Linked DNA regions of Elephas maximus indicus. The protein of the gene in region 2 interacts with the protein of the main gene of each other region in a pairwise test. Links are inferred from orthologs where the notes say so. Each region holds a gene or a part of one and is shown on either strand. Other genes may lie near its edges. The genes, in order: PSMB3, TRIM27, NCK2 and BAG5.

Region 1 (7,923 bases), on a different chromosome or scaffold from region 2:
GGCCGCAGCCGTGTCGTCCGCTCTGGCGGCAGGAGGGGAGAAACCTAGCGTAAGAAAGGAGTTTGTGAAAGCGGCTTGGGGTGGGAGGGCGAGAGGGGAGGGGAGGGGACGAAGGGGGGAGGGGAGAGACGGGGCTGGAGGGGGGACAAAATGGCTTTTTTTCCTCCAGACAAGAGTAGGTCCCGCCCACTACTCACCCACGTGACCTCATTCCTTCAGGGTGTTTGCGGAGAGGAGAAGAGGAGGGGGAGAGGCTAGCGCGGCGGTTCCCCACCCGGTGCTGGCCCCCTCGCAAGTACGGACACGACCCCTCCCTTCCCAAACAGCCCCCTTCTGCGACTGATGGATGAATCCTTGTCTCTGTGACCCCCCGCACTTAACCCCCTCCCCCCAAAATTTGTGTGCCTCTTCCCCTCCACTGGCCCTGCGATCCCCGCCCGGAGCTGGAGCGCCTGGGATATAGTGAAATGAGGACTAGGCTGCACTGTGGCTCACTCCGCAGTCTTCCAAGCCTCAGCCTCGACCTAAGGGCCCTGGGCCTTGGGCAGTGGACGCGATGCCTCCGCCACGCGTCCAGGTTATTTTCATTCACTCCAAGTTGACACTGCTTTAAAATTAATAACTGCATCTATGAGACTGAGCTTGTCCGCTCCGCACCCTTTTGCCCCTCTCAGCAGCTGGATCAGTGGCTCTAAAACACCTTGCTCCGGGTCCCAGCCAGGGCGCCTCGGGGAAGAGGCCTGGCGCTGTGGGGTCCCCTCTCTACCTGTGTGGCGCCGCGGGGGAAAAGGGGCGAGGTCCTAGCACGCTCTGGCCCGAGGGAGGAGGTCTCGTGGTTGGGACTCGGTTAGCTGTAGTGGCGGAGAAGAATGGAACGCAATCTGGGCCCGGGCGACCAACTAGCTGAAAACGGACCGGGATACAATAACTCGGGCGCAGGCGAGAGCCACAATGGCTAGAAAACGAGGCGCAGGGGCTCGAGGCTGGGCCCGCGCTTTTTCCTGCCTAGCACCGGTTCCCGCATTTTCCGCCCGCGCACTATCGCGGGGTGGCTGTGCGCTCTGTGCGCCTTCCTCGCCGCCGTGGCGGGAGGAGCCCGGGGAGCGCCCAGGCGGCTGGAGCCAGCTGACTCCGACCGTCGCTCCCGGCTCCACTCAGCGCTCGGGCTCGGGTCCCCAGAGGCTCCGGCCCGGGAAGAGAGCGAGCAGGGAGGCTTGGAAAAGCCAGGAGGAGCTGCTGAGACAGGCGCCGGGGAACCGCATAGATATTATGTTACGGCCACGGTCCGTGGGGCTCAAGAAGACGGTCGATTCTTTATTCAAGATTTTTCAGGGCTCGACGCCGTGTCTGTCGGTCAAAAGAGCTGGATTATCCGCCCAGAAGCGCCATTAAGCGCACCGGCGGTTAGTGGCTCTACAGGAAATTAGGAAAAGAAGCTTCGGAGCGTCTGCCTACTCCTTTTCTTCCCTACTTGCTCGCAGCCCAGGGGCCCCGGACCGAATGCTTTCACCCTCTGGTCGGCAACCAGAAGACTTGCAGACACCGGCCGCCAAGCGACCCCAGCGTCAACCTCAGCCCACACGGGCTAAATGGGGGCGGGGAGGAAAAGGATGGGCGGGAGAGATATCCGTCCAGAGTAGGTGGCCCGGGACCCGCGGGAGAAGGGCCCGGAAGGATCCGGTCACCTGCTCCCCTGTCACTACACCGGGTGGGGGGCCGCGAGTTCACCGGCCCCCACAGGAGAGGGGGCTCTTGGCGTGGGCACTCCCACTGTCCCCACGGCAAGTGTGTTGCCCGCATCCTAGACTCTGCCAGGGAAGACTCGCGAATCCTGCTCTGTCCCCAGTCGTTCTGTAAGGGTCAACTGGGTGCGGCAAGGACTCCCGGTCTGCCCCCACTTTGGAGTTAGAAGGGGACTGGATTAAGAGAAACCTGTAGGGACCTTGGGGAGACTTCAGTCTACGATCCACAACGGGCACCTAGGGGCTGCCCCTGGGGAGAGTATTAGCTAGTGGGAAAGGGGCTGACTGTCCCTGTGCGTCCCCACTATCGTCCATTAATCCTGGAGGGCCGCCAGAGGGGGCCAGAGTTTACTGGTGGTCCATTCTCTTATTCTGCAGACAATCATTAACCGCCACCAGAGAGGAGTATGCTGAAGACCTCCCACTACCCAAACCTAATTTTTAATCTTTTTTTTTTTTTTTTCCAGTCCTCATTGACCAGTCCCCAGGTCACTGGCCTTTCTGGCTTAGCAGGAGAACCTTCTGACCCAACCCTTCCCACACATGAAGTTCTTTGGTTTTCCAGTCTTTATTCCATTAACTGACATAGAAGCACCTGTCATGTACCAATGTCAGCCACTGTGCTAGGAGCAGGGGACACACAGGAGGGATACACAGTGCCACTGGAGCTTATGGGGAGGGCTGTATTGCTGGCCTTTAGAAGAGTGACCCTCATCTTAATGAGCATGGATGAGCACTGGGAGGGCGGTTTAAGCAACATGTTGAGAAAGTACATCTTCGGAGGGAACACTTGACAGGGAACTGCTTGAGAGAGACCTTGGTTGTATTCTCCCCCACAAATCTGGTCCTCCTGCCCAGTGCCCTGGGATGGCCTCTGGCAGACATTAAGAGCCAATGCTTCCCTCTTGATTTTGTGTTAGTCGTAGTACCTCGCAGGGTCCTCGTGCTGACAATTATTCATCAAAAGAGTCACTGCGTCAGTCAGATTAGAAACTCCAAGAGGACAGGAACCCAGGAAGTCTAGGTAATTATTTCCAGCACACACCACGAGCTACCGTAAGGTGAAGGCCCCTTCAAGATGGTGATGATGTCAGGAAAGGGCAGCTTCTCCTTCTGTTTTGACTGTCTACCTCTCTCCAGGGTCGCTATGAGTCAGAACCAACTCTTTGGTTTTTTAGGTTTTACCTCTTTGCGCTTTAGGTAGATCCTTCTGTCTCCCCAAAACAATATCCTTTGTCAGTTTCTGCTTCTATTTCTCCGTCCTCCTCCCCACTTCTGCGTGCACATTTCTGGGGAAAAAAACATTTTGTTACTCTTGTTTTCCTTTTTCTGATGCTTGTGTTAAATGCTTCTCTTTTCCCTCTCTCCATTTTCTCCGTGGGGCTTCCTCTCATTCACCCTGCTTATTTCCATTCTCTCTGTGTGTCTCTTTCTGTATATCACAGCTGTGTTCTTTCTTACCTTTCTCTTCTTGCCTCAGTTTGTCTCTGCCAACCTCTCTCTCCTTAGTCTCCTCCCTTCCAAATGTAATATTTGGAGATTGTAACATCGATTGAGGCAGACAATGGGAAATCGTTCAGCCTCCAGTGCAAATTTATTCTTATGAAAAATACAACCTGAAACGTATTGCACGGCCAGACAAAAACCTCTGTCTTTGCCTTTCCTGCAATCCAGCTTGGGGGAGGGAGGGGTGCGGTGGAGGGAAGTGACGGAGAAATTATCCCATTTACTTATTGAACAACAAAGAATTTTCAACAATGATTCTCTGATTTGCTATATGAAAACTGTTGCCTTTGTCGTTTCAGTATGAAATTTCATTCTTCAGGAGTTAGGAGCAAAAAGCTCAGTTTTTACCCCCCTCTTAGTGGAAAGGAGTATGTATACTCGGAAAACAGGGGGGAAAAAAATACACACACACAAAAAAACCCCACAAAACCGAAGCGTCCCTGGGTGGGCTCGAACCACCAACCTTTCGGTTAACAGCCGAACGCGCTAACCGATTGCGCCACAGAGACCGCGGTAGTTATCGAGTGGCTGTGAGTCAAGTCAATGGGAGCGAGGCTGTGACGGCGCAGAAGCTAGACCTGAAGCCCGGTAATGTGGTGAAAGGAAGCCGGACCTAGGAGAAAAGGGGAAGGGGCCTGGTACAGGGCGGCGGCGGGAGGGCAGGAGGTGGTACGTACACACCTCTCCTCCATTGACCCCGGGCAGGGTCGGCATCAGTTACCCCCGGAATCTACCTTCGACGTGAGGAGACCCGGAATGTTCCTTTTGAGGGTAACCTGAGACTTGGGGACATGTGAAGCCGGCTGGCTTGGGGGTCTCGAAAAGCGGAACAACCTCCGGACTCCAAACCTCTCCTTTGCAGCTGAACACCTGCAGCAACAAAATACTCCCGACACCCCCCTAACCCCGTACTATTAAATATGCATTTAATAGTCGCCTCCTACAGCCTGGGCACTGTTCTAAGCCAGTGACTGTCTAAAGCCTGACACAGCACCAAGAGGTCTGGTGGTGCAGTAATCAAGCTCTTGGCTGCCAACCCAGAGGTGGGTAGTTCGAACCTACCAACCGCTCAGCGGGGGAAGCTGTGGCAGTCGGCTTCCGTAAAGGGTCATATTTTACAGTTGGAAACCCTGTGGGGGCAGTTCTACTCTATTTTATAGAGTCGCTAGGACTCAACGGCAGTAAGTTTAGGGTGTTGAGCATAGTGCCTGGCACACGAAAGTGCTCAGTAAGAATTTCTGGAATGAGTGATACCCCGGATCCACACAACATGCCGAGAAACGTTACCCGGGGGTCCTTCCGCTGGCCCCATAGCCCGCCACCCCAACCCGCCCCGCCCCGGCCCTACCAAATCCTTGCTACCCCAGCCCACGTGCGGCGTGGGTCCCGCCCCCCGCTTTAGGCTCCAGAGTTCGGGTCCGCCGCGATCCCAGCACGCACCGCGACGCAAAGGCTCTTCCGCACTAACAGTGACTTTTCACTTTCCTCTCCCCCCGGCTTTGGCCTCTCAACTAAACTACGTAGCGCTGGTGAGTGACAAGGATCCAGAGCCAACCGGAAGCCCAAATGGCCCGGAAGAGCTGGCCTTCTAGCCAATGGAAAGAAAGCAGCGAGAGTGGTTGCTCAGTGAGGACTGCTGCGGGCTTACTGGGCTCACGGCGGAGTTTGGGGGTCTTGTTACACCGCAATCATGGTGAGATGGGGCTCGAAGAAAAGGGATACGGGGTAGGGACTGAGGAAGGAGGAGGGGGGCAAGGGAGGCTTGGGAGGCATAGAGAGCCTGGTGGTCGACGGACAGAAGCGGCTCCAGTTTGAAGGGGAGCGGACCGCGTTGAAGACCAAGGGGGGTGAGTGTGGCTTCTCGCAGCCACGCAGGGTAATCTCAGAGCTGGAGTGCGAGGCGTCCAGCCGCCCCCACCGTGGAGGATGGGGCGTATAGGAGCCTCCGGAGCAGGGGCTGGATCGAGGGCTATGGTCACATCAGGCCCCCCAGCCTGAGCTGCTTCGCCCCTGTCTGCTCCAGTCTATTATGTCCTATAACGGAGGGGCCGTCATGGCCATGAAGGGGAAGAACTGTGTGGCCATCGCGTCCGACAGGCGCTTCGGGATTCAGGCCCAGATGGTGACCACAGACTTCCAGAAGATCTTTCCCATGGGAGACCGTCTGTACATCGGCCTGGCGGGGCTCGCCACTGACGTCCAGACTGTGTAAGTGTCGGGGTCCCTGCCCACGCCCAGGCTTTTTCTAGGACCAGCCTTGCTTAGCGCCTTGAGTGGTCTGGGTGTCCGTTATCTACTTAACATGTCCAGTATCTGAGACTTTGGCGGACATCCTAGCAATATGAAGAAGCCCTGGTGATGCAGTGGTTAAGTGCTTGGCTAGTAACCGAAAGGTGAGCAGTTGGAACCCACCAGCCACTTTGCTGGCAGAACGATGTGGCAGTCGGCTCCTGTAAAGATGATGCAAACTAATGAGTGTCAGAGCCAGGGTCCTAAGGCAGGCCTCTCTGAGACCAAAGCCTGTCCTTAAAGAACTGCAGATCTAGTTGAGAGACAATACAGAAAGGTAACTAACCCATGATGAGTTGGCGCATACTAATTACCAGGTTATTTAGTTGACAGTGGTTATGTGACTTGAGAGAAGGAGGCTGGGAGGTGAAATAGGTAGCTCTTGTGATGGCCCAGATGTGGGGGTTATGGTCCTAATGGGGTGGTTGTGGCAGAAAAGCAAAGGAGTGGGTTTCTGAGAGTTGTTGCTAGCAAGCCTTAGTGGCTACTTGGATGTTTTGAGACCAAAGAAAGTCATTTATTAAGGGCAGGAACCATGTCTTTATTATTTTTGTATTCTTACTGTGTAGAACAGTACCTGGTATATAGACAATCCATAAATTTTCTCACAGGTGATTTCTGTTTTGAGCATGTTGACTGAAATATGGGAATTGGGAGGACTAGTTTGAGGGAAAGATGATGACTTTGATTTTTGACACCAGTTTTGAGGTGACAAGGCAAACCAAGTAGAAACGTCTTGCAAGCAGAGTTTTGAAATTATATCTCAGGAATAAAGAGGCATTGATGATTTATTAAATCTATGGGAGCAGAGTCTAGAGAGACAAAGTATGTAGAGGGAGAAATAAGCTGCAGTTCAAAAGTTGGACCTTATATTTCACTGGAGGAAGAAGAGAAGCCAGAGGAGAAGGTGAGGGAAAAAATCAGGGTAGGGTTTCAAGGGGGATGATGTGGTCACAGGTGTCAGGTGCTTCAGGAAGGATTAGCAGCAGTCCCTGGGCTTTTTTTCGTAGAAGGTCAAGAGACTGGTTCACTAATGTCAGTGGAAGCTTGACGGAAAATTTTCTCTCATTTTCTTAAAGTTCCCTAAGTATCAGGAACGTATATAACTTTGAAGTCCTTCCCAAAACCTAACCTAACCTGCTCTTTTTCCTCGGTAGAATCAGAGAATTACAGTTTAGGGTTCCCTCCAGTGTGAAGGCCCCATCAGCCTTCCTCTCTCCAGCCTGCTGTTCTTCTCACGCCATTTTCTTTTCCTCAGGAGGGTTTTCTCAATGTGTTTGGTTGCTTGCGGGCAGTAATTGCTAGTTTCTCTAGGTCTCGGTTTCCTCACCTATAAGATGATGCTAAAGTCACGTCCAGGGCTCTTTCCAGGTCTAGTGTCCTGCAGCTCATAGCTTTGCCTCTGGCAGGTATGGCTTTGGTCTGCTCTGTGCAGGGGACTGTCCTGGGGCTCTGAGTTGGTGCTGGAGGAGGGAGGAGGTGTGATCCTTTTTCCCTTCCAGCCCATTTATGCAGCAGCTGCTTGTTTTTAATATGCATAGGACTTTGCAGTTTTCCAGTACCTTGTCATATACCCATACATTATCTCTCTGCCAGGGTATTTATTTTATTCCATTTCCTTACGGATAAAAAGGTTAAGTGGGAAGATGAAGGCTTAGCCTATGTCTGTGCTCTCTTATCCATTGGTCTTACCAGTATAAGTTTTCTGTGACTTTATATCTGCAGGCACATACCCCATAAAAGCGTGGAAGGAGCTGCCCATTTTATTGTAGATAAATTGTACCTCAAAAAAGAGGAAAAAATTCATTTCCTACCTCCCCACCTCCCAAAAAAAAAAAAGGATGGGAAGAAAGGTTAGCAAAGCAGCATCTTCGCAGGGGTAAGTGTTGCGGCATGGAGTCCTGAACATGGAAGTGAGACTAGACTTCTGGTGAGAAAAATTGAGGAGAAGAGAGGAGTCTTGGCAGGCATTGAGATTGTATGCCTACCTGCTTACTTCCTGACTTCCACAGGGTGGACACTAGGAGACATTCAGCAATGACTTTCTACTTCATTTTTTACTCCCACCACAGTGCCCAGCGCCTCAAGTTCCGGCTGAACCTGTATGAGCTGAAGGAGGGTCGGCAGATCAAACCTTACACTCTCATGAGCATGGTGGCCAACCTCTTATATGAGAAACGGTGAGTAGAAGTATAGCCTATGGCTCCAGGACTCTAGGAACCCAGGAATCTTGACTGGGGGCCAAGTAGGCCTGTAGTGTTGGTCACGGAGCGGGGAGGAATTCCTTCTTGTTCTCCCACTTATTTGCAAGACGATATCCTTATTTTATGGGCCTGGTCTCTCTGGGCCTGTCTGACAACCAAATAGGAAAGAAAGGGCTTACTTC
Region 2 (8,018 bases):
GAAGGCCAATTTCATCTTGCAGACATGATTTTAAGTTTCATTAAGTTGCCAATATTTAAAAGTCAGCAAATTTCACATAAAACTTCAGATTTCTGCCTTCTTGTGAAAAATCTAAAAAATTAGCAATATGCTGGGCCCTCATTCCCAGATGACATTATAGGCTAGTGATGAGAAGTAGCCTCTCAGGAGGGACATCTGTCTTCCAACTGGACACCGTCTCTACCTTTCCCTATTGTGTCTCTGGCCTCGTCTGCTCACTTAAGTTACCTTCTTGCCTCCAGTCAGTATTTGTGTTTGCACTACTGTCATTTTGAACTGCCAACCTTTCAGTTAACACCCAAGAGCTTAACCCACTGCACCACGAGGGCTGCTTCTGACATTTTACAGATAAACAAATAATAAGAGTTATAGTTTTTCTGTTTAAAATGGATGCGTGCATTACTCAAGTTGATGAAAAGGAAAATGCTATCTGACTCTTGGCCAGGAGGTATCATAGCATCTACCCCATTGTCCCCTAACCTGGAAGGTGGGAAAATGGCACAACCGTGAACATGTGTGAGGCAGAAGATAATCAGCTACATTTTGGGTGTGTCGATAGCTTGAGATGGCTGGAATGGATAACAGAGATGCAGAGGGCAACCAGATGATAGTACTGAATAAGTGACTCAAGAACAACAGAAAGCAAAACACTTGATAACATTAAGTATGATTCTTCATAAAATGCTGCTGCTGATTAATCTGCCAACTGTATGTATTCAATGAAGGTACAGAGGTTGTGCTAAGGGAATAGAGAAAAAAGATTAGGGACCATCAGAGAAGAGAGATGCCATGGCATTTGAGTTGGGCCTTAAATGATGGAGACCTGGGGTTTGGGACAGACAGGCTGAGGGGTTGGCATGGCAAAGGTGGAGAATTGACTGGGCCAGAGTGTGAAGCAGGGGATGGGGACACAGAAAGGCCAGAAGGCCTTAGTAACTGCAGAGCTAGGATTCCAGGTAAAGAAATTGGGCATCTATTCTGCAATAAAGCCAGACGCCCTCTGCGATTTTCTAAGAAAATGAGGGCAAAATCCAAAAAAAAAGTAAGGGTTATAAAGATGAGAGATATACATAAAACGTGACAGTGGAAGCATTAAACTGCTAGTCTAATAGTTCAAATATTTATGGGCTTTTGATATGGTTAGAGGTACGTGTGAGAAATAACAGAGAACATACAAGAAGGTCTGATGAGGAGTCCCTCCCCTCATGGACTTAATTATGTGAGCTTGGTTTCCTTATTTATAAAGTGAGTGTATTAGACTACGTGAAAGCTAAAATCACTTCCTGCTCTAAAAATATGTCCTGATTTAGAGCTTTGACAGAAAAGCAAGAGTTTCATGCAAGGCAAAGTCAAAGAAAGTCATATGATAGAAAATAAGCAAGTGCCTTGTGAGGTTCTGTGTGAACACAGGAGCCTAAGCGGAAAGAAGAGAAATCAATGAGGCCAGCCTTTTTCAGATAAGCTCTAAGGATGGGGTGGGATTCTTGAACAGGCCTTGTAGAGAGGGTTGTGGCAAGACTGGAGGTGTTGTTTGAGGACAGTGAAGGTATCAGCCTGTGTTGGAGGCTGGAGGTACTCAGATGGGACACCATCTTAAAGGATTTGGACAATGTCCTAGAGACAAAAAAGGAAGCATTGAAGATTTCTCAGTAAGAAGTGGCAGAATGAAAGAAGCATGTTAGGGATGTTTAAGGATGATTCTTTCCCTTGAGGTGGTAATCACTAGAGGAAAAAGTAACAGACTAGAGGAAAAAACTAGAAATAGGGACACTAATAGGAAATGGTTGCATTTATCCAGTTATTAATTCATTTCAAAAACATTTGTAAACTGACTATTGTAATAACTTAAGTCAGGGTGTGGTGATTGAAATAAAAATGAATAGAGGCCAAGTTGAGCAATAAAAGCAAAGCAAGAAAAAGAAAAAGAAAATTTTTTTCAAAATTCCAATAAGTCTAGAAGATAAAGGAAAGACAATAAAATCATTCTTTCAGCAAACTTTTATTGACCATTAGCCACATGCCAGGCAGTATTCAAAGTCAGACAGAGTAGAGTTTTGCTCCCAAGGAGCTCTCAGTTCAGTGAGGGGAACACACAAAGGAATGCAGGATGTAGTGGTAAACAGTAAGTGAGCTCTCACAAGAATTCTGTGAGTAGGTAGAAAGGCTTCACTGCATTTGAGAGGAATCTTAAATGTTACCTAGACAGAAAAAGTGTATGTGACAAAGGCTTTATAAGCAGATAAACCAGCAAATTCTAAAGTAGAGCATCTGATCCCTCTTATCTCAGGGATACAGACCTGTAGTTTGGCTTTGTTTTTCAGAATTGATGGTGTTATCAACTCCTTGTCAACCCCAGAGGTGGGTTATGGATAAAAAAAAAAAAAAAAAAGGAAAGGTGGGGTAAAATAGGTAGGTTGAATGGGGATGAATGGGGATGGGTGAGAGAAAGGGGAAAAGGGAAGACTTGCACTTGGTAGTTTCTACCAAAGGAGCCCTGCCGGTGCAGTGGTTAAGCACGCAGCTGCTAAATGAAAGGTTGTGGGTTTGAATCCACCAGCACTCAGCTGGAGAAAGATGTGACAGTCTGCTTCCATAAAGATTACAGCCTTGGAAACCCTCTAGGGCAGTTCTACTCTGTCCTATATGGTCGCTATGGGTCGGAATTGACTCATATGGTGCACAACAACAGTAATGTCTACCAGCCCATTTCCTTCTTGAATATTCAAAATGCCAGTGACACCTTAAAAATGGCCACTGTGGCCGCCTGCACCGTGAATTTAAACTCTTTTAGGATAGCGGAGATTGGACCATGGGCCGGGCCTTAGGAGGCCCCAGGAGCTTGAGACTCAGGGAGAGGTGTGTGGGTGTGGAAGAAAACACTAAGCTGAGGGAGCTTGATGGTCATACCCATTTCTGAGTTGGAGACATAGAGAGCTCTTACTGTTCCCACCCTGTTCCCTTTCCAGTGTGTCTCAATTGAAGTGGCAATTCAATACTCATTATTTCTGGCTAGAACCCAATCTTTGGACAAATCTAAGTATTTGAAGAAAGATATAGTCAATGTATCAGTTTTTACCGGGGGAACTACCATTTTCCCAGCTGACAGGCACAAAGCCACTCATCTCCCTACCACAGTTTCTCCTCATTCTAGTTTATCCTTTGTTGCCTTCAGTTATTTTCCTAGAAAACAAATTCTGACCTGTGGAAAAACTGCTGGTTCCTTGTTCCTACAATACCGAGTTCAAACTTTCAGAGAGTGACAGACAAGGCCCCTTCATGGTCTAGCACCAACCGCCTTCTCTAGCCTTGTCTCCATTGCTCGCACACACACACACACACACACACACGCACACACACACACTACACTTCAGTTACACCAAACTTCTCACATCCCATAAGTGAATATAAGGCTTTTCCAGATGTTTTTTAGAAGTGGGCTGGGGCTATCCGGAACTGAAATTGCATACTGGGATACTCAAAAGAATGTGGTTTGGAAGGGGGATATGGGCTTGAGGTTGGCAAGTCCAGTTAGTCTGGTCGATGTCTTGCCCCATAAGTGAGGAGGACCAAAGTGGAACTTTTAAAGTGAGGAGTAGGAAGCAGAGGCCCCTCTTGCTGGTGTACAAGGATGATACTGAGAAAATATCTAAGGAAACTAGGAAATAGCAAGGTAGGGATGAAGGAGCAACACAAGAGCTTTAAGTCTACTAGATGAGAAAAGGCCTGCTGGTGTAGAGGTTAAGTGTCTACGTCTGCTAGTCAAAAGGGTTGGTAGTTCGAATCCGCTTGGTACCCCTTGGGAACTCTATGGGGCAGTTCCACTCTGTCCTTATAGGGTCGCTATGAGGCGGAATCGACTCGATGGTACGTACTGGGCTTGGTTTTGGTTCTTTTGGTGGACGATGAAAAGAGAATGGGCATTGTGGAATTCCAAGGGCTTGGGTCACTGCAGGTTTCTCAACCTTCCTATGCTTTGGGAAGGAACAAGCAATTTTTTAAAAGTTCTACTCAAAACAACCTTTAAAACCCTGTGGAGCAGTTCTACTCTACGCACGTGAGGTCACCACGAATCGGAATTGACTCCATTGCAACCAACAACGACAACATGCAGTAGCTATTTTATTGCTATTTTCATAGTAATTAACCCCATTGCTGTCGAGTCGATTCCGACTCATAGCATTATGGTTCAAAAATAAAGGTATAATAAAGTCTCCTTCCTCACTAGGGGTACAGTTATCATTCCCATTCAATCGGGCGGGGGGGTGGTGCGGGGAGGGGAACTATAAGCCCAAAACCGTAAACCAGCTTGTTTGGGCACAGACGGAAAAGTAGCAGAACTGGGCTTGTCTGACTCCATTTACAACCCACAGAAACGATAATTTGCCTAATAATTAAGCCTTAAAAAAAAAAAAAAATCCAAGAGCCTGTAAATGGAGCTGTTCGATAAAGTGTATCTGTCTCACATATCGGGTGGGGTGCAGTCGGTTCCCCCCGTCCCTCCGCCCCATGGGGCAGGCCAGATGTCTGTGCTTCCCAGATCCAACACAAAGCCAGCTTTCCCTCTCAGGAGCTGAGGCCTCGGCACAAAAGAGGTAACCCAACAAAAGACTAGGGGTCCAAGACCGGGAAGGAGCGCGGAAGCTCGGAGGTGGGCCCGAGCATGAAGGCTGGGGTGACCCTGTCACTGCTGCGCCCGGCGGACACCGCCTGCCCCTGTCACAGGCTCCCGAGGCTCCTGCTCCAGCGCGTTCCGCCCAAATACCGGCGGCCCCGCCACCCAGTCCTTTCTGGGAGGAAACAGTCCAGGCCTGGAGGCCACAAAACCCTGTCGCGCTCGGGAGGCCCGGCCCAAGCCCCGCCCCCCCGAGCCGCCTCTTCCGTTAGCGCCGGGGTGGGGTCTACACGGCCTCGGGGATCCGCTAGAACGAGGCCACGTTGTCCTGCGCGCTTAGCGCGCCTGGCCCCGCGAGTCCGGTCGGCTGCGCCCACTTCCTGGACCCCTTGCCTCGGTACGGGTCTCCGTGGGACCGGAGTGTCCCGGCGCCCACGCAACGGGGCGCCGAGAGGGGCCCCGCCACTTCGAGTCTCCAGCGCGCGGGCGCGACCGGGATCTGCGACCAGCATCTGGGCCCGGAAGGCGCCGCCCCGCTCACCTCCCCGCGCGTCCTGAAGTGGAGACCCGTAGGGAGCGCAGTAGAGTGGGGCTCCGCGCAGAGCTCAGCGAAGGGGCCCATGCCCGTGCGCCCCCGCGGGCCAGCGCCATGGCCTCCGGGAGCGTGGCCGAGTGCCTGCAGCAGGAGACCACCTGCCCCGTGTGCCTGCAGTACTTCGCCGAGCCCATGATGCTCGACTGCGGCCACAACATCTGTTGCGCGTGCCTCGCCCGCTGCTGGGGCGCGGCCGAGACCAACGTGTCGTGCCCGCAGTGCCGGGAGACCTTCCCGCAGCGGCACATGCGGCCCAACCGGCACTTGGCCAACGTGACCCAGCTGGTGAAGCAGTTGCGCACCGAGCGGCCGTCGGGGCCCGGCGGCGAAATGGGCGTGTGCGAAAAACACCGCGAGCCCCTGAAGCTGTACTGCGAGGAAGACCAGATGCCCATCTGCGTGGTGTGCGACCGCTCCCGCGAGCACCGTGGCCACAGCGTGCTGCCGCTCGAGGAAGCCGTGGAGGGCTTCAAGGTGAGGGCCCGGCGCGCGGAGCGGGGAGGGGCGGGGAGCCGGAGTCGGACAAAGGGAGGAGAGAGCCAAGGGGGTTTCCTTTTTTCCGCCTAGAAAATGGCTGAGCCGGACGTGTGGTTCACAGCCGTCATTTCCTCTCTGTCCGCTTCAGAGCCTTCGCACTCAGATTTGGGAGAAAAACCTGTAGCTGGTGAGGAAGCCAGAAGTCTCCCCCACCCCCCACTCTGCTTTCCCTGTTATACCCCTGTGTTTACCCGCTCACGGACACGTAGTGTATAAAGACGGCCCCCCGTAGAGACCTCCCCACGCTCCCACCCCCCACCCCCACCTGGACATTTTGAAAGGTGTGAGGAAAGCGACATACACATCAGCCACCTTCAGAGACACAAGTACTCCTGTGGGCTCTGATCTCAGACAGAACACACCCGGAGGTTAACTGGCTGTACATACATCGAATCAAGCCTATAAGCATTTCACCAGCACTTCCCTGTGCTCTGGCCTGTTCTACAAGCTCCTGGAAAAGAACAGAGCACTTTACTGCTTGGGCAAGTCATTTAACCTCTCTGAGACTCAGGAGGGTAACAACACATTATTATGAAGATTAAGTGAAATATGTGTGGAGCCCTTTGTGAGCTGTTGGATCAACAGACTGACACAGCTAAACACTAACATGGAAACAAAGTATTAAATATAAGTTTTAAGGCAACATTCAGGGAATGCATGATGCTGTGATACCTGTATACTTGAGTGCTGCAGGGATACACAATTATACATGTTTAAATGTGAGTACATTAATACATAATTTGCCACTTAATGTTTAGAGTGCTTTCACTTAATTATTTCACTCACCTTCATGATAAACACTGAGTAGTTTGGGAAGGTGGTGTTCATTCACCCATGTTATAAAAAAAATGTTATACATGGGGAAAATAAGAGAAGTCATTTTCTCAGGATACCTCTGTGGAGGAGTTAGTTTGGCTTTAAGCCTCTTAGTGCAGTCACCTTCCCAACGAAACTACAGTATCCTTCCTGGGGAGAAGGTAATCCACTGTTTAAGATACACACAAACAGACAAAGGAGACCCTTGGTGCCCCCCTGGGTTCTTGGCCTTTTTCTCCGTGGTGGCAATGTGGTCTAAAGACAGGCTCTAACCAGGGTCTTGGCATGAGGTGTGTGGGTTCCATGTGTGACATGCAGAATAACCATGATGATGCTAAAGTTTTCCTAATCCTGAACTGGCAACTGTCATGGTTTCCTCAGGAGCAAATCCAGAACCAGCTGGACCACCTAAAAAGAGTGAAAGACTTAAAGAAGAGACGGCGGGCACAGGGGGAGCAGGCACGAGCTGAACTCTTGGTAAGGGTCATCACGAATGATGGATAATATTACTTCTGCTGGCCAGTCATTCCCTCTTCTCTGGGCTGATGCTACTTCTGTTATCTTTGTTCAGCCAGGTCACCCACAGCTGTTAGGTGCAGTTGGGATCTCATCTGGACACCTAATAGATAACTAAGCTTATTTCCACATTTTGGGGAAAGGATGGAGGAACCAAGGTGGGAATCCCTGGAGATTCTGACCTTCAAAGAAGATTTAACCTGCTAGCTTTGTATAGATCAGCATTGATCCTTGACAGAGCTGAAACAGGTGAAATTTGGGGCATACTTAGCTTCCTTTCATATCATCCTGTAGACAGGAGCTAATAGTGACTTTGAGTAAGCCTTGCTGTTGCTTCTTGCCTGGAATATTCCTATCCTTGACAGTTTATCAACTCTGAACTTTTCATTTTGCTCTCTTCCCCCATCCTTCCAAAGCCTTGCCAAGTAGCTCATGTGCTTATTTCTGATAGGAGTATTTGGGCGTTTTGTTTTTGAAAAAATATATACATGTATATATCAAAAAGTACAAAAACTTTTGCAACACACACTTATATTTCCACCACCCATGTGTTTATACTTTTTTATGGGCAATAATTAAAATAGTACAAATATTCTTCCAGTAGAGATATTTGCATCTGAAAAGCAAACTCCTAAACTAGTAATGTCTAGTCCTGTCTTGTGAGAATTTTTGTTAACTACTCCTAGCCATGGTTGCACAGTGGTTAAGTACTACGGCTGCTAACCAAAAGGTTGGCAGTTCAAATCCACCAGGCGTTCCTTGGAAACCCTATGAGGCAGCTGTGCTCTGTCCTATAGGGTCGCTATGAGTCGGAATTGACTCGACAGCAATGGGATAGGTTACTCCTGGCCAGGGTATGGTAGGTAAAGCTTTTAGGCAGGAAGCTCTTTCCCATGGTACCCT
Region 3 (6,942 bases), on a different chromosome or scaffold from region 2:
GGAATCGGACTCTTGTTGATGCCGGTGGCATGTCTAGGGTATCGCCCTGGTCCTGGGTGCATGGAGCCACTGGACAGTTTCTGTTAACTCGGTACGGCCCAACGTACTTCCTCAAGCACCCAAACCCAAACCCAGTGCCGTCGAGTTGATTCCGACTCCTAGTGACCCTATAGGACAGAGTAGAACTGCCCCATAGAGTTTCCAAGGAGCACCTGGCGGATTCAAACTGCTGACTCTTTGATTAGCAGCTGTGGCACTTAACCACCATGCCACCAGGGTTTCCTCCTCAAGCACAGTAACGTGTTAATTAAAAGATGAACAAACTTGACTTGTATTTTTGAGCTGATTGAGCCACCGTGAGTCAGTCGACTCAATGGCAATGGGTTTGGTTTTGGTTTTTATTATAATAGAGTTATTTAAAAGAAAGGTGTCAGATGTTTGGGCAGGGGCGCCATTTTCTGTAGGTAGCCGCTGGTCGTGATGGGTTAATAGAAACTTTCAGTGGTGCCAAGCACCCACAGGTGGTACAATACCTGCCATACCAGCCATACCCCAGTTCTGCCTCTGCCAGTTGATCCGTACCTTGCAGTTAACGATGAAGGCAGGATCTGCCCAGCGCCACTTGCTTAGTGCAGGTGCCATGAGAGGCTTTTGTGCAAGGGGAGGGGCAAGAGAGAAGCCGGCTAGGAAGACATTGATATTCCATGTAAATCTGGGGGATGGGAGGAAGTGAGGTATGGGAGGCGAGTTGGAAGGTAGTGGGTACAAGAGGAAAGAACAAGAGACTTAGAGTCAAGAACATGAGGGTTCTGTTCCCAGCTCTGGCACTTACTTTTTCAATTTTTTCATCTGTAAAATGGGGATAATATTGTATGTGAGTTAGAGATAATATATGTAAGGAATTCAATAAATACACATTACAATTATTGTTAATGATATAAATATTAGGATGGTGGCATTGGAAATAGAAAGGTACTATCAAAGAGATGTTTAAGAATCAACAGGACTCAGAATCACAGGAGTTTAGACCGAAAGCGATCTTAATGTCCTCTAGTGCCGCCTCCTTACTTTCCTTGGGGAGAGCTAAAACAGTGGGGATGAAAAAGTCCTGGCAGCATGAGCTTTCTACCTTGGGAGCCAAGGTGCATGGTGCACTCCTGGGCAAGCCTGAGAGATGGTGGGAGAAGGAGCTAACTCGGAAAAGTGATGAGTTCACTCTGAACATGCTGACTTTGATGAGACAACGAGTGGCCTACAGGAGAGGTCTTCTGGGCCGCTGATAGTAAGGCATTGGAGTGTAGGTAAGAGATCAGGGCTGAGGAGGTATCTAAGGCTACAGAGCTAGGAGTTATTGGCTGAAAGTCCAGCTTGCAAGATATAAAAAACCATTGTCTCTCTTAAAAAAAAAAAAATCAGAATAAAAACAAAAGGCCAAAGTCAGCTTTGGGAATATTACGGTTACAGGTTGGGGAGTCAAAATACCCCACAAAGAGACAGATGGGTGGGCAGAAATGTAAGAGAATCAGAATTAGTCATTTTAGACAAATGAAAAGATGATCATGTTTGAAATATAGTAGAAAGGACACGTTTCAGAAAACTGTACAGGATGACGTTTGAGGAAAAGACCACTGGGTTTAGACAGAGAACGCCGTGGGTGACTTTAAGAAATTACCAGAGGAAGAAGAGGAAACACTGGGTGAAGTTCACACATCCATGATTCAGTCAAAGTTTACAAAACAAGTAAAAACTAGGTTGATATCATTATACTTATTTTGAGTACGTTCATTTAAAACTGGGCCAGACCATGACTGGACTTCTGTTTTACTTATTGTAAAGCTGTTGTTGTTGTTAGCTGCTGTCAAGTAGATCCGACTCATGGTGACCACATGCACAATGTGATTGGGCCATCGTGATCCATATAGAGTTTCCATTGGCTGATTTTTGGAAGTAGATTGCCAGGCCCTTCTTCCTAGTCAAAATATTAGTAAAACAAGGTTTTCACAAAAGGATGAATCCAAACCAAACCCATTGCCATCAAGTTGATTCCAACTCATAGTGACCCCACAGGACACTGCCCCACAGAGTTTCCAAGAAGTGCCTGGTGGATTCGAATTGATGACCTTTTGATTAGCAGCTGTAGCTCTTAATCACTCTGCCACCAGGCTTTCCTTAAAGGATGAATGGAGGTCGCTTTTTTTCCAGCATCACTGCAGAGAAGAATGAAGATGTCCTGATTCCCCTAGCCCCTCCCACCAGAGATTGCTTAATGGGCACCACCTACTGCCAGGGACTGTGTCAGGTGGGTTAACATTACATTCCCATCTTGCAGAGGAAGAAACTGAGGCGTAGAAAGGTTAAGAGATAATTTGTGCAAGGTCACACAGTTGGGGAAACCAACAGTCACTGAATTGACTTCAAAACCATACTGACTCTAGTTACCTATCCTTGGATACTTCCTTTAGGGAACGCGATGGGATTTGTGAATCAAATAATACTACCCCGTCACTTTGGATAGATCATTACTGCTTTAATAATAATGGAGAAGCCAAGAATCTAGGAAAAAATCTTAACATGGAGACATGCCATCCCACTAGGACATCAGGATTATTTGCATGTTCAGGTTTCCTTTGGGAAGCCATATGGGAAGGGGACTGGAGAACAGACATCTGCACGCAAGTGCCTGCGAAAGTGAAACTTCTGTCTTTGCTCTTCCTCCGGGGTTTTAAGCTTCCAAGTTTGTTTACAGGTAAGCGGCAACTTGGTGCTGAGTGAACCAGTCCCCCACTAGTGACAACTCCTTCTGGGCCCACAGTCAGGCAGCTCCTTATGGCGTTCTGTCCTCGTGGGTGAGTGTGCAACCAGAATCCAACTGGCTCGAGCTGGTGACGATGCAGGGGAGGCAGCAGAGTTTGGGTTTCCTCTCCTCCCCTTAGGAAGTGCCTCCAACAGGGATGATGGAGCAAAAACTTGTCTGGTTAGGAGTGTAAACAGATGCAAGACAATCAAAAATATCCAAAAGCAATTACTGGGAGGCAGTGACATTTTTATGTAAGTCACTTTTCTGATGGACAACAGACCTGCTTTGCAGAGTGCCTTGGGGACGCTTCCGGGAGGGGGACAGTGGCCAAACAGTGCACTGATAAGAAAATCGAACTAAAAGGATGGGAAAGACGACCCTACCAGTCATTTAAGGCTGGAAGTTGCTGCCTTATGTTCATTCTCGTGCCTCACTCCCAACGGTAAAGGTACTTTCTTTTCTCTCCGCACATGGTACCGCGTTTCTCCCAGTATTTACCCGTCGCCAAGCGGCTCGCGCGCCACCCAGGCTGAGTATTCCCTTGCGTCCCTGCTATTCTTTTAAGCGTTCCAGGCCCTGGGCCGCCGATCTTCCACAGGGCCCCCGGCCGGGCCCGACAGCCTGCCCGGTGTCCGGTCCCGGAGAGGCGGCCGGAGGCTGGGTGCGGGCACGGATCGCACGCGGGGCGGCGGGGCGGGCCCGGGAGAACCCTGTGAGGAGGTGGCCGCGCCCTGTGCTGCCCGGGCGCCCCCAGGTGGGTCTCGGCGGCCGGCGCCCCAAGCACCCGGGGCCTGCGGCCGCCCCGCACGGCGTCAAGGCGCGGCCGGGGGAGGAGCGGCAGGAGGAGGCGGAGAGGGCAGCGAAGGGAGGGCGCAGAGGAGGAAGAGGAGCGGAGGAGGCGGGAGCTGGGCGCCGGGGGAGGGGTTGCCGCCGCCGGGGCTTCGTCAGGCTGAGAGCCGCGGCGGGCGAGCGAGGCGCGGAGCAGCGGGCGAGACGGGCGGGCGGACGGCCGGGCCTGGACGCGGCAGGGCCGAGGCGGCGACAGGGCTCAGCGGCGGCCGGGCCGGGGCAGCGCACGCCGGGCCGCGGGAGGGGGCGAGCGGCCGGCGGCGGCGCGAGGAGGGAAGCGGCGCAGACAAAGAGCGGCGTCTCCCGGGTGCTGAGCGCGGCCACCGCCGGGACCCCCGCGCCCGGCCCTCCGGGCGGCGCCGCGCGCGGCTGCCTCTCTGCCCTCGGCGGGCGGCGGCCCGGCCAACCCCTTCGCGAGGTAAGCGCCGCCGCCGGGGAGCACGGCCGGGACGGGCTCGGGGCGCGGGGGCGCGGGGGCTCCGCGGCCGCCGCAAACTTGTGGCCGTTCCGTGGAGTTGGGAGCGCGGCGGGGGCTCGCGGGGCGGGGCTGCGCCTGGAAAGGGACTCGGGGGACTGGGTTCCCTCTGCCCTCTCCACCGGGTCCCCGGGCCCTGCCGCGCGCGGCCTGGGGCGCCCCCTGCCCCGCGCTGTCTGCCCCTGGGGTCGGGCAGGGCTGGGCGCCGCACTTCGCAACTCCTCACCTTTCTTCTCGCCTGCCCGGCTCGGGCCCCTTCGCCGCCGACACTCCTGGAGTGTGGGCACTGGCCGTGGGCAGGCAGGAGGGTGCGGGAGCCGGGGGCTGCCGGTCGACCCCGCGAAGCTGGGACTGACTGACCCGGGGAGCTGGGGAGCCCCGGGCAGGCAGGGAGTAAGCGGCCTCCGAGCCAGCTGCGGGGACGAAGCTCGGGGCCGGGCGTGGGCGTGCGTCCTCCTCGGGGTCACAGCAGGCCCGTGGGGGTGGCCGGGGTCGCTGGGGCGCGTGCGTCCTCGGGAAGAACAGCCCTGGATTGCAGGGCTCCTGCGCAGGGGACGTGGGAGGCCGAGCTTTGCCGAGAGAACTTACTGTCCTTATTGGAACTATTTATGAATCCCCGCACAAAGCTGCTGTCATATCGCATAAAAGAGGTCCTCGCCTAGGCGAAGGGCGCTTTTGTGGCGGATTCAGCCGTGTCCTGTCCCAGATTTACTTGATTCTGTTACAGCCACCGGAACCAAAGTTTCTCATCACAGCTTTGCTCTCCTGGCTTATTCAGGACGATTTAAGTACGAAGTGGTTCCGAAGAATTTGGTGTGTGACTCCTAAGGCATTGACTGTAACTCCCTCACCAGCTTGGTTTTTGGGGGATATTGTATGGAGGGGTTTAATTTGCAAAACGCTTTAATTTGTAGACAATAAAGATCACCGTGGAAGGTCTGCGGGGGACGCTGGGGGTCACTGGCTGATGAACGTCAGACACCTGACTTAAGATAAACACTTTAACAGCTTCAGGGTCAAAGCAGTAATGTACCTGGAGTCTGCCTCAGCCACTTCAGACAATTCGGTTTGGCAGTTTCCCCTTTATTTGGCTTGTTTATTTTGCGAAGAGGTTTAAGGTCCATTCGGCCAAGTTTTCACCCCATCAGTTGGCTTCTCCATAATCAGTTGGCTTCTGCATAGTGCGAGCAAACCCCAGTGCTGGGCAAGAAAGGCTTACCAGCATCAAGTCCGTCTCCTTCCATTGACCCATAAAGAAGCTGCACTCTGGCCAGGTGGCTCCCTTTCCACCCACAGGTAGGAGAGTCCCCAGTCCCAGGACAGCCCTGGCTTCTTGAAGTAGATTTTGTGTAGGAATGAAAATTCGGGGTGTGCTTTGTGCCACTGTTTTTGATACAGTTGTAAACAGTACTTCTCAGTCTTAAGAAATGAAGGAAAAAAAGTGAAAATGAAATTTACCTGGGGCTGCTTTAATTTATCAGAACAGAAGTAAACTTTGCCTCTGAACACACTGGTAACTCACTCGCCAAATGTTCCTAGGTAAAGGGCAAATAAGAGAATTCAAGCATGTGCGTGGTTTATATAAATAAATGTTCATGATAATCAGTGGTAAACGTGGAGAAGAAATGTGGGATGTTTGGGTCTGTTGTTGGGTGCTGTCTAGTTGATTTTTACTCATGGTGACTCCTTGTGACAGAGGAAAACTGCCCCATAGAGTTTTCTTGGCTGTCATCATTAATGGCAGCAGATTACCAGGTCTTTGTCCCATGGAGCTGCTGGATGAGTTCAAACCACCAACCTTTGGTTAGCAGCCAGGCGCTTAACCATAGCGCCACCACGGTTCCTGGTTTGGTATAGATAAATTGGTTTTTAGATGTTGTTGGAGACAGATTTTCTGACGAGTGGGTGTGAACACGGTTTGTGAAGAAGTGACCACACCTCGATATTTCTCTCTCCTCAAGGTTGGTTTGATGTAGTTTTGATTGAAGAAAGTGGCAGAATCTTAATGGTGGTCTTAGGACGGCTTCATGCTGGAATTCAGAACTTGAAGCCAGTTGTAAGCTTGTGGAGGTGCCTTACTCATCTTCCTCTGCACCTGGGCCTGAGCTTCTTAGCTGCTGGGTAAACACTGAACTGGATTGTCACAGAATTCAGGATGTAGCTGGTGGCAAATTGCCATAGGAGAATTGACTGCTCCTTAAGCCCTGTGTCCACGAGGGGGGAAACCCATACTTTTTAGGTGGGTGAGGCATGTCTAAGGTGCATTTTAAATAGCTGTGCTCAGTTTCCTATCTGTTAAGAGCTAGCTGCCAACCAAAAAGGTCACCAGTTGGCATTGACCAGCTGCTCCTTGGAAACCCTACAGGGCAGTTCTACTCTGTCCTGTAGGGCTGCTATGATTCGGAATTGACTGGGCAGCAGTGGGCCTGGTTTTCAGTTTTTTTGATGCTCAGTTTCCAGGCTTTGAATTTTGCTCGATGGTAAGTTTTGGTCAAATCGTTATACAGCTGCATCCTGAATCTTCTCTGTCAGTCTCACCTTCTGGCGTTTGCGTAGGGGGTTATTGTTTTCCAACAAGCAGCAGCTCTTGCGTACACAGTGTTTGAGAAATGAATTATCATCTATGTTAAAGCACTGGAAATTCTCTGCATGTGCGCAGACTGGATAACCTTTTAAAATACTCTAAAGACTTCCTGATCGCCTGGAATCTTTTCCTTTATCACTGACATTAGCTAGATTTGCCCCGGCTAGGCCAGGGCTGTGCTGCTGTATAGAACACAAATGCTTCTAATCGCTCAGACAGGCCTGCAGTATACACTGG
Region 4 (6,915 bases), on a different chromosome or scaffold from region 2:
AGGGACTGGAACACTGGATAAATGTAAACAGGGAACCCAGGGTGGAGGAGAAGGGGCGAGTGCTGACATATTGCAGAGTTGGCAACCGATGTCACAAAACAATTTGTGTATTAATTGCTTAATGAAAAACTAATTTGCTCTGTAAAATTTCACCTAAAACACAATTAAAGAAAAAAATTGATAAAATACATGGCAAAAAAAAAAAACTAGATAAAAAGGCAGACTGGGAAATGTATTTGCAACAGATAGAACAGACAAAAATATTGGTATCTGTAATAAAAAGTTTCTCTGAATTAATAACAAATAGAAAAAGGGCAAGGGCGAGTCATTGAAGATAAATTTTAAAGGGTCAACAAACATACGAAAAGACATTCAAACCTGCTAGAAGTCAAGCAAGTGAAAATTACACAAGGAAACTGCAGTTTTAAGGCACCCAATTGGAAAAGCCGAAAAGGGGAGGAATCACATCCGGTGCTGTCAGGGAGACAGGCCTTCCCTCGTTTCTGCAGAAGTGACCCGCAGCACCTTTTCTGAATGTGAAGGAGCCCTGGTGGCGCAGTGGTTAAGCATTCGGCTGCTCACGGGGTTAGCGCTTCAAATCCACTAGCCGCTCCACAGACGAAAGCTGAGACAGTCTGCTTCGTAAAGATCACAGCCTTGTAAGTCCTGTGGGGCAGTTCTACTCTGTCCTACAGGGCCACTATGAGTCGGAGTTGAACCCATGACAACGGATTTTTTGAATGTGATCTGACCATATCTAAAATGTTAAAAATCCATTCTTTTTGGCACAAGAATTCCAGTTTGGAAATCTATCTTACGGGAAAGTAAACGCAACAGTATGTAAAACCATCAAAAAAAAAAAAAAAAATGACCTCTCGATGCCAAGGGCTTGTATTTTTGTTCTTTGTGATCCAAAAATTGCTAGAAAATGATTTTTAATTCCTTAACTTCTGTGTACAGGACTATAACACATACATTCGTTGTGTCCATGCCTTACAGACTGTACAGCTTTGAGGAAGTGACTTTACTGTGCCTAAATTTACTCATCTGTCAAGTGACGATGCTAAAAGTAACTACTTCATAGAATTGCGAAGGTTAAATGCATTAAAATGTATAAAGTTCTCAGAACAGTGCATGCAACCGTTCAGTCAACGTCAACTATTACTATGAATGTGACTAAAACTCAGGACTGAAAATAAACATTACTTCATGAAACGTAACCAGTGGTTCTCAAAATTGGAGGGTTATTTGACTCACCCTCAAAAATCCTGATGTCCAGGCCACACCCCAGACCCACTCACAGGAGAGCCGCAGGGGGTGGGCCCCAGTTCTGTGTAAGGTCTAACCAATGGTTCCAAAGCACAGACAAGTTCAAGAACCAAGGATGCAAACTACACAGACAAGGAACAAGCTGCAAACACTTACGAGCTGAGTTTAAGTTGGGTTTGGAAGGGAGAATGGTGCCTAACTATCATATTTCTGTTAAAACTCGTATCCAGAGATGAGAAGTGGGAACAAAGCGTGCAGGTACTGAAAGCCAATCTCTTTAACTCAAGCAGAGGGCAGAGCCAAGAATTAATGAAAAACAGACGCAGTGTTAAAATGTGTATCTACTTAGATAACGAAAACAGTATAACGACCTGTCACTTTTGGGAAGACCTGACATTTACACTCAGCTCCTGAAAAACAGCAATCTCTCCCTGCTGCAGAAACTTAACTACCTAGAGAAACTGCTGTGCACTCAGGAAGCACACAAAGGTGGTGACGAAGGAAATACAAACTGCCCTACAGCAGAAACTGTTTACAGTCCATCCAGGATCCAGAATAATGCAGCACTCAGATCCTACATAAAAAACAACACGAGTCATCGCTACAGTTGGGCAGGTTCTGACTCACAGGCCAGCCTCCGTTTTTTACTGGGTCATCAGCATCACAACAGGTGTGAGCGGTCTAGCAAGTGCCCAGCACTGGGTTTGCCTGTAAGTCTCATCGTGAGGATCCAACCCAAGGTAAGACCGATTTTACCTTAACAAAAAGCCTGCATGACAACAAGGAAGCCTTGTCTGGGTGAAGTCCTTTTTTTTGCCCACTAGCTCACAATATTGGAGCCCTGGTGGCACAGTGCTTAAGCGCTATAGTGATCTATGGCTGCTAACCAAGAGGTTGGCAGTTTGAAACCACTCCTTGGAAACCCTATGCGGCAGCTCTACTCTGTCCTACAGGGTCACTACGAGTCTGAATCAACTCAACGGCAATGGGTTCAGTTTTTTTGGTTTGCTATGCAGGAGACCTGGGTTCAATTCCCGGGCAATGCACTTCATGTGCAGCCACCACCCATCTGTCGGTGGGGGCTAGCATGCTGCTAGGACGCTGAACAGGTTTCAGCAGAGGAAGACAGACTAGGAAGAAAGGCCTGGCAATCTACTTCTGAAAATCAGCCAACTAATCATGGGGATGGCACAATTCCATCGTGTATGGGGTCACCATGAGTTGGGGGCGACTGGACAGCAGCCAAGAACAACAGCAACAGTTCACAAAATAGGGAAGTGTGCCATAAGTGGCTAAGGCACTCTGCTGCTAACCAAAAGGTTGGTGGTTCAAACCCGCCCCGTGGCTCCACAGGAGAAAGATCTAGAGATCCACTCCGAAAAGATGGTTGTTGTTGCCGTTTGGTGACATTGAGTCGGTTCCAACTCATACCAACCCTATGTACAACAGCATGAAACAGTGCCTCGTCCTGCGCCATCCTCACAATCGTTGCTATGTCTGAGCCCACTGTTGCAGCCACTGTGTCAGTCCATCTCATTGACAGTCTTCATCTTTTTCGCCGACCCTCGACTTTACCAAGTGGGAGATTACAGAAAAGATTTTTACCTGATAAGATGACAGCCTAGGAAACCCTAAGGAGCAGTTTTACTCTGTCACATGGGGTCGCTATGAGCCGAAATCCACTTGACAGCACCTGACGACAACAAGCCCTCATTCTGGGGAAAGCTCTTGGTTGGTCTGTAGTTTGCTTTCCCAGAGCACACTCTGTTGTGAGCACACTCCTGCCCAAAGACTGAGTGAGACGCTGCTAGGCTCCTGCGTCCTAGGAACACAGAGAGGGCTGTGGCCACTCTGACAGGGAACTGAGCGGGGGGGGGGGGGGGCTGGGATCTGGCTAAACAACTGCCCTGGTGGCTCCTCGACTAAACTATAAACTAGACAGAACTTCAGGGCCAACGTTTATGAAAGTGTGTTAAGAGCCTGAGACCAACAGAAACGAACATCTCCAGGCAGGCTCACTTTGGAATTCTTAATTGGTTTTTTTTTTATCCTTCTTTAATTACTGTTTTAAACAAGCTGTCCAGCCTCCCTCATTAGCACCTTGGCAAATGAAGCGCCTATATATTTCCTTTACGTATTTTATCTGCAGCCTATTCCCCACCGCAGTCAATGTTTCCATTTAACAGCTGGAATCAAGCCCCTCCCCCACCCCGCAAAAAAAAAAAAAAAAAACAAGCCCACTGCTGGGGAGTGGATGCGGACTCACGGTGACTTATAATAGGATTTCCAAGGCAGTAATCTTTCGGAAAGCACACTGCCACATCTTTCTCTTGTGGAGCAGGTGGGTTTGAACCCATGTTTCAGTTAGCGGCCGAACTCTTAACCACTGCACCACCAGGGCCCCACTCAAAGCCTAGGCCTCCCTTGAACAAAATATCTTTCATAACAGAGCAATTTATAATTATAAAAACTGTCTGCCATTCTTTCTTGTACAGACTTTAATCTTTGTGGATTTTTGGCCAGCATACACGCACCTCATTTCCAAACCAGAAAAACTCTTCACCGTGAAGTCCTAGAGAAAAACAAAGGTCGCCATCGCGTGAGGAAAGGTACTAACAATCTTAACGACGCCAAGTCACCAACGAACAGGCAAAGATACACGAGCTTTAAACACGGAGAGCAGCTGTCCTCGAGAATAAAAAGGTAGGCACAGACTTGCTGGCCGACTCGGACTCGGCACACGTGATGACAGTCCTACTGGTCCACATGCACCCTGGTCCCCGCACCCAGACCACGGGGTTGACACGGGAACTGCGGGCCACGGGCTCACTGCGGGCCACCAGGTCACCTGCTGCTCTGAACCCTGCCTGGAGCTCAACTCACGCCACAGTGGGGGAGACGTGAGGTGCAGGGCCAGGCCGCCTGGAGGGGTGCAGGGTGGGGGTCGGTCCCGAAGTGTGCAGGGTGGGGGTCGGTCCCGAGGGGTGCAGGGTGGGGGTCGGTCCCGAGGGGTGGGGGGCTGGGGGGTCGGTCCCGAGGTGTGCAGGGTGGGGGTCGGTTCCGAAGGGTGCGGGGCTGGGGGTCGGTCCCGAGGGGTGCAGGGTGGGGGTCGGTCCCGAGGAGTGCAGGGTGGGGGTCGGTCCCGAGGGGTGCAGGGTGGGGGTCGGTCCCGAGGAGTGGGGGCCTGGGGGTCGGTCCCGAGATGTGCAAGGTGGGGGTCGGTCCCGAGGAGTGGGGGGTGGGGGTCGGTCCCGAGGGGTGCAGGGCTGGGGGTCGGTCCCGAGGGGTGCAGGGTGGGGGTCGGTCCCGAGGGGTGCAGGGTGGGGGTCGGTCCCGAGGGGTGGGGGGCTGGGGGTCGGTCCCGAGGAGTGGGGGGTGGGGGTCGGTCCCGAGGGGTGCGGGGCTGGGGGTCGGTCCCGAGGGGTGCAGGGTGGGGGTCGGTCCCGAGGGGTGCAGGATGGGGGTCGGTTCCGAAAAGTGCAGGGTGGGGGTTGGTCCCGAGGGGTGCGGGGCTGGGGGTCGGTCCCGAGGTGTGCAGGGTGGGGGTCGGTCCCGAGGTGTGCAGGGTGGGGGTCGGTCCCGAAGGGTGCGGGGCTGGGGGTCGGTCCCGAGGAGTGCAGGGTGGGGGTCGGTCCCGAGGGGTGCAGGGTGGGGGTCGGTCCCGAGGGGTGGGGGGCTGGGGGTCGGTCCCGAGATGTGCAAGGTGGGGGTCGGTCCCGAGATGTGCAAGGTGGGGGTCGGTCCCGAGGAGTGGGGGGTGGGGGTCGGTCCCGAGGGGTGCGGGGCTGGGGGTCGGTCCCGACGGGTGCAGGGTGGGGGTCGGTCCCGACGGGTGCAGGGTGGGGGTCGGTTCCGAAAAGTGCAGGGTGGGGGTCGGTCCCGAGGGGTGCGGGGCTGCGGGTCGGTCCCGAGGTGTGCAGGGTGGGGGTCGGTCCCGAGGTGTGCACGGTGGGGGTCGGTCCCGAGGGGTGGGGGGTGGGGGTCGGTCCCGAGAGCTGCGGCTCGGACGCCTCGTCCCTGACGACCACTCCTTCCGGTCCAAGCTCTCGTGCGCCCCGCTTACCCGGCTGGGCGCCGCATCCCTGCGCTCTGGGGCGAGCTGGCGGCGGTGGCCAGCGAAAGCGCGGCAGAGCTGGGGGAAGAGGGCCTTACTCCTGGGCCCCAAGGCCGCCATCATTGGCGTCCGCCCGGCTCCCGCGGCGCACGACAGAGGCGCGACGGCGTCAGAGACCGCCTTACGGCAGTGTCGCAAAGACTAAGGCGAGGGGGAGCGCGGCCGACCGTGCGCTTTCCCGGCGGTTCGGGGAGGCGGCTGCGGGCACCGCGGGGCTGTGGGCGAAGGGGTGACGGGCGCTCCTCGGCCGCGGCCTCCTCACGCTGTCGTGCACGCGGCTGGCGGCGGGCCGTGGGGGGGCGCCGCGACTGAGGGACGGCTCCCCGGGGCTGGGGGCGTTCGGCCCGGGGCGGGGCTGCGGCGGCCGGGCGGAGGCGGGAGCCGCAGAGGCTGCTGAGGCGGCGGCCGGAGCGCGATGGAGCGGGCGGAGCAGGTGAGCGAGCGGGCGGGCTCCCTCCCCGCCGGCCGGGCTCCCTCCCCGCCGGCCGGGCTCCCTCCCCGCCGGCCGGGCTCCCTCCCCGCCCCGGGCCGTGCCGAGCGCGCCGCCCCCTCTGCCGCGGCCCATTGTGAGGTCAGGGCCGGCGGGCGCGTCGCGGGACCCGGGCCGAGGCCCCCGGAGCGGCCGCTGCGGCCAGTAGCTGCCGCCGCCCCGCCGGCCCCTGCACCGGCCGCCCCGTCCAGACCTAGCCGGGAGGGGCGAGAGGGATGCAGCTCGGGGCCCCGCTCCGGCGCCTCACCCCGTGAAGGGCCGCCCGGCCACCGGCCAGCTCCGCGCGGGAAACCCAGGCGCCGGCAGCCCCGACCGGCTCCGGGTAAAGGGCCCGAGGGCCGGGCGGGGACGGGGGCGGGGAGGGCGGGCCGAGCTCTTCGCGGGAAGACGGGCTGCGCTGCTCACCGCCGATGCCGCGTTCCGGGGGGTGTGCTGGCGGGGGAAGGGGCCCGAGCCCCCCGAAGCCGCAGGCGGCGCCTCTGCAGGGCGACTAAAGGGCGGGTCGGGACCGGGCTTGGAGAGGCCCGGAAAGGCAGGAAGACGGATGTAGAAATGGGGACTTCGGGGGGTGTAGGCCCCTCCGGGGCCTGCCTAGGGGCTCAGGTCCTTTTGCTCTGAGTTACTTTTTCTGGAAACCAGACATAGCTGTCTTGGAGGGATGGGGTGCTTGGGTGGTAGGGTTTATGCTGCGTGACTTTCCCTTCCGTGCATTCCGCAGGTGCCCTGCTCATTCTAGCGTTAACACCCCAAGTATTTGTGTTATGCCGAACTGCTTGCATCTTATAAAGGCAGACGTAGGCGCCTCTCTTTTTACGATGGCTGAAACGCGACATCCGCAGGCCCCGGGTTCCCCTGGACGCGGCAGTAACCACTGTTCCTAATAGCTGCCAGGCTGGGGGGAGGGAGTTGGTATGTCACTCTCCTTGCTGTACCTGAGCATAACTGTCTTCTGGGTTGCGGTAGGGACAAGCCCCTTCTTTAAGTATGTCTTTTAATTAATGTGTGATTGCCATTCTTCAGAGACTCTGTGCTGTAATAAATT

The links.
Region 1: the proteins of TRIM27 (region 2) and PSMB3 interact in binary tests that used the Homo sapiens proteins (3 or more experiments, as listed by UniProt). The two-hybrid records come from large-scale screens. The link is inferred for Elephas maximus indicus from reciprocal best matches to the Homo sapiens genes TRIM27 and PSMB3.
Region 3: the proteins of TRIM27 (region 2) and NCK2 interact in binary tests that used the Homo sapiens proteins (3 or more experiments, as listed by UniProt). The two-hybrid records come from large-scale screens. The link is inferred for Elephas maximus indicus from reciprocal best matches to the Homo sapiens genes TRIM27 and NCK2.
Region 4: the proteins of TRIM27 (region 2) and BAG5 interact in binary tests that used the Homo sapiens proteins (3 or more experiments, as listed by UniProt). The two-hybrid records come from large-scale screens. The link is inferred for Elephas maximus indicus from reciprocal best matches to the Homo sapiens genes TRIM27 and BAG5.

Annotation. Positions count from the first base shown.
Region 1 is NC_064837.1:46,318,410-46,326,332, forward strand, and holds the start of PSMB3 (proteasome subunit beta type-3), read left to right. Parts: upstream 1-4,820; 5' UTR 4,821-4,938; coding exon 4,939-4,941; intron 4,942-5,271; coding exon 5,272-5,456; intron 5,457-7,609; coding exon 7,610-7,717; intron 7,718-7,923. UniProt on the Homo sapiens protein: Non-catalytic component of the 20S core proteasome complex involved in the proteolytic degradation of most intracellular proteins. This complex plays numerous essential roles within the cell by associating with different regulatory particles.
Region 2 is NC_064819.1:85,514,584-85,522,601, reverse strand, and holds the start of TRIM27 (zinc finger protein RFP), read left to right. Parts: upstream 1-4,921; 5' UTR 4,922-5,300; coding exon 5,301-5,720; intron 5,721-6,980; coding exon 6,981-7,076; intron 7,077-8,018. UniProt on the Homo sapiens protein: E3 ubiquitin-protein ligase that mediates ubiquitination of various substrates and thereby plays a role in diffent processes including proliferation, innate immunity, apoptosis, immune response or autophagy.
Region 3 is NC_064835.1:79,826,028-79,832,969, reverse strand, and holds the start of NCK2 (cytoplasmic protein NCK2), read left to right. Parts: upstream 1-3,893; 5' UTR 3,894-4,064; intron 4,065-6,942. UniProt on the Homo sapiens protein: Adapter protein which associates with tyrosine-phosphorylated growth factor receptors or their cellular substrates. Maintains low levels of EIF2S1 phosphorylation by promoting its dephosphorylation by PP1.
Region 4 is NC_064828.1:117,819,889-117,826,803, reverse strand, and holds the start of BAG5 (BAG family molecular chaperone regulator 5), read left to right. Parts: upstream 1-3,879; 5' UTR 3,880-3,972; intron 3,973-5,332; coding exon of another isoform or gene 5,333-5,446; exon of another isoform or gene 5,447-5,480; intron 5,481-5,720; exon of another isoform or gene 5,721-5,816; intron 5,817-5,891; exon of another isoform or gene 5,892-6,195; intron 6,196-6,915. Other genes in the region: cytochrome c oxidase assembly factor 8, read right to left, coding at 5,333-5,446. UniProt on the Homo sapiens protein: Co-chaperone for HSP/HSP70 proteins. It functions as a nucleotide-exchange factor promoting the release of ADP from HSP70, thereby activating HSP70-mediated protein refolding.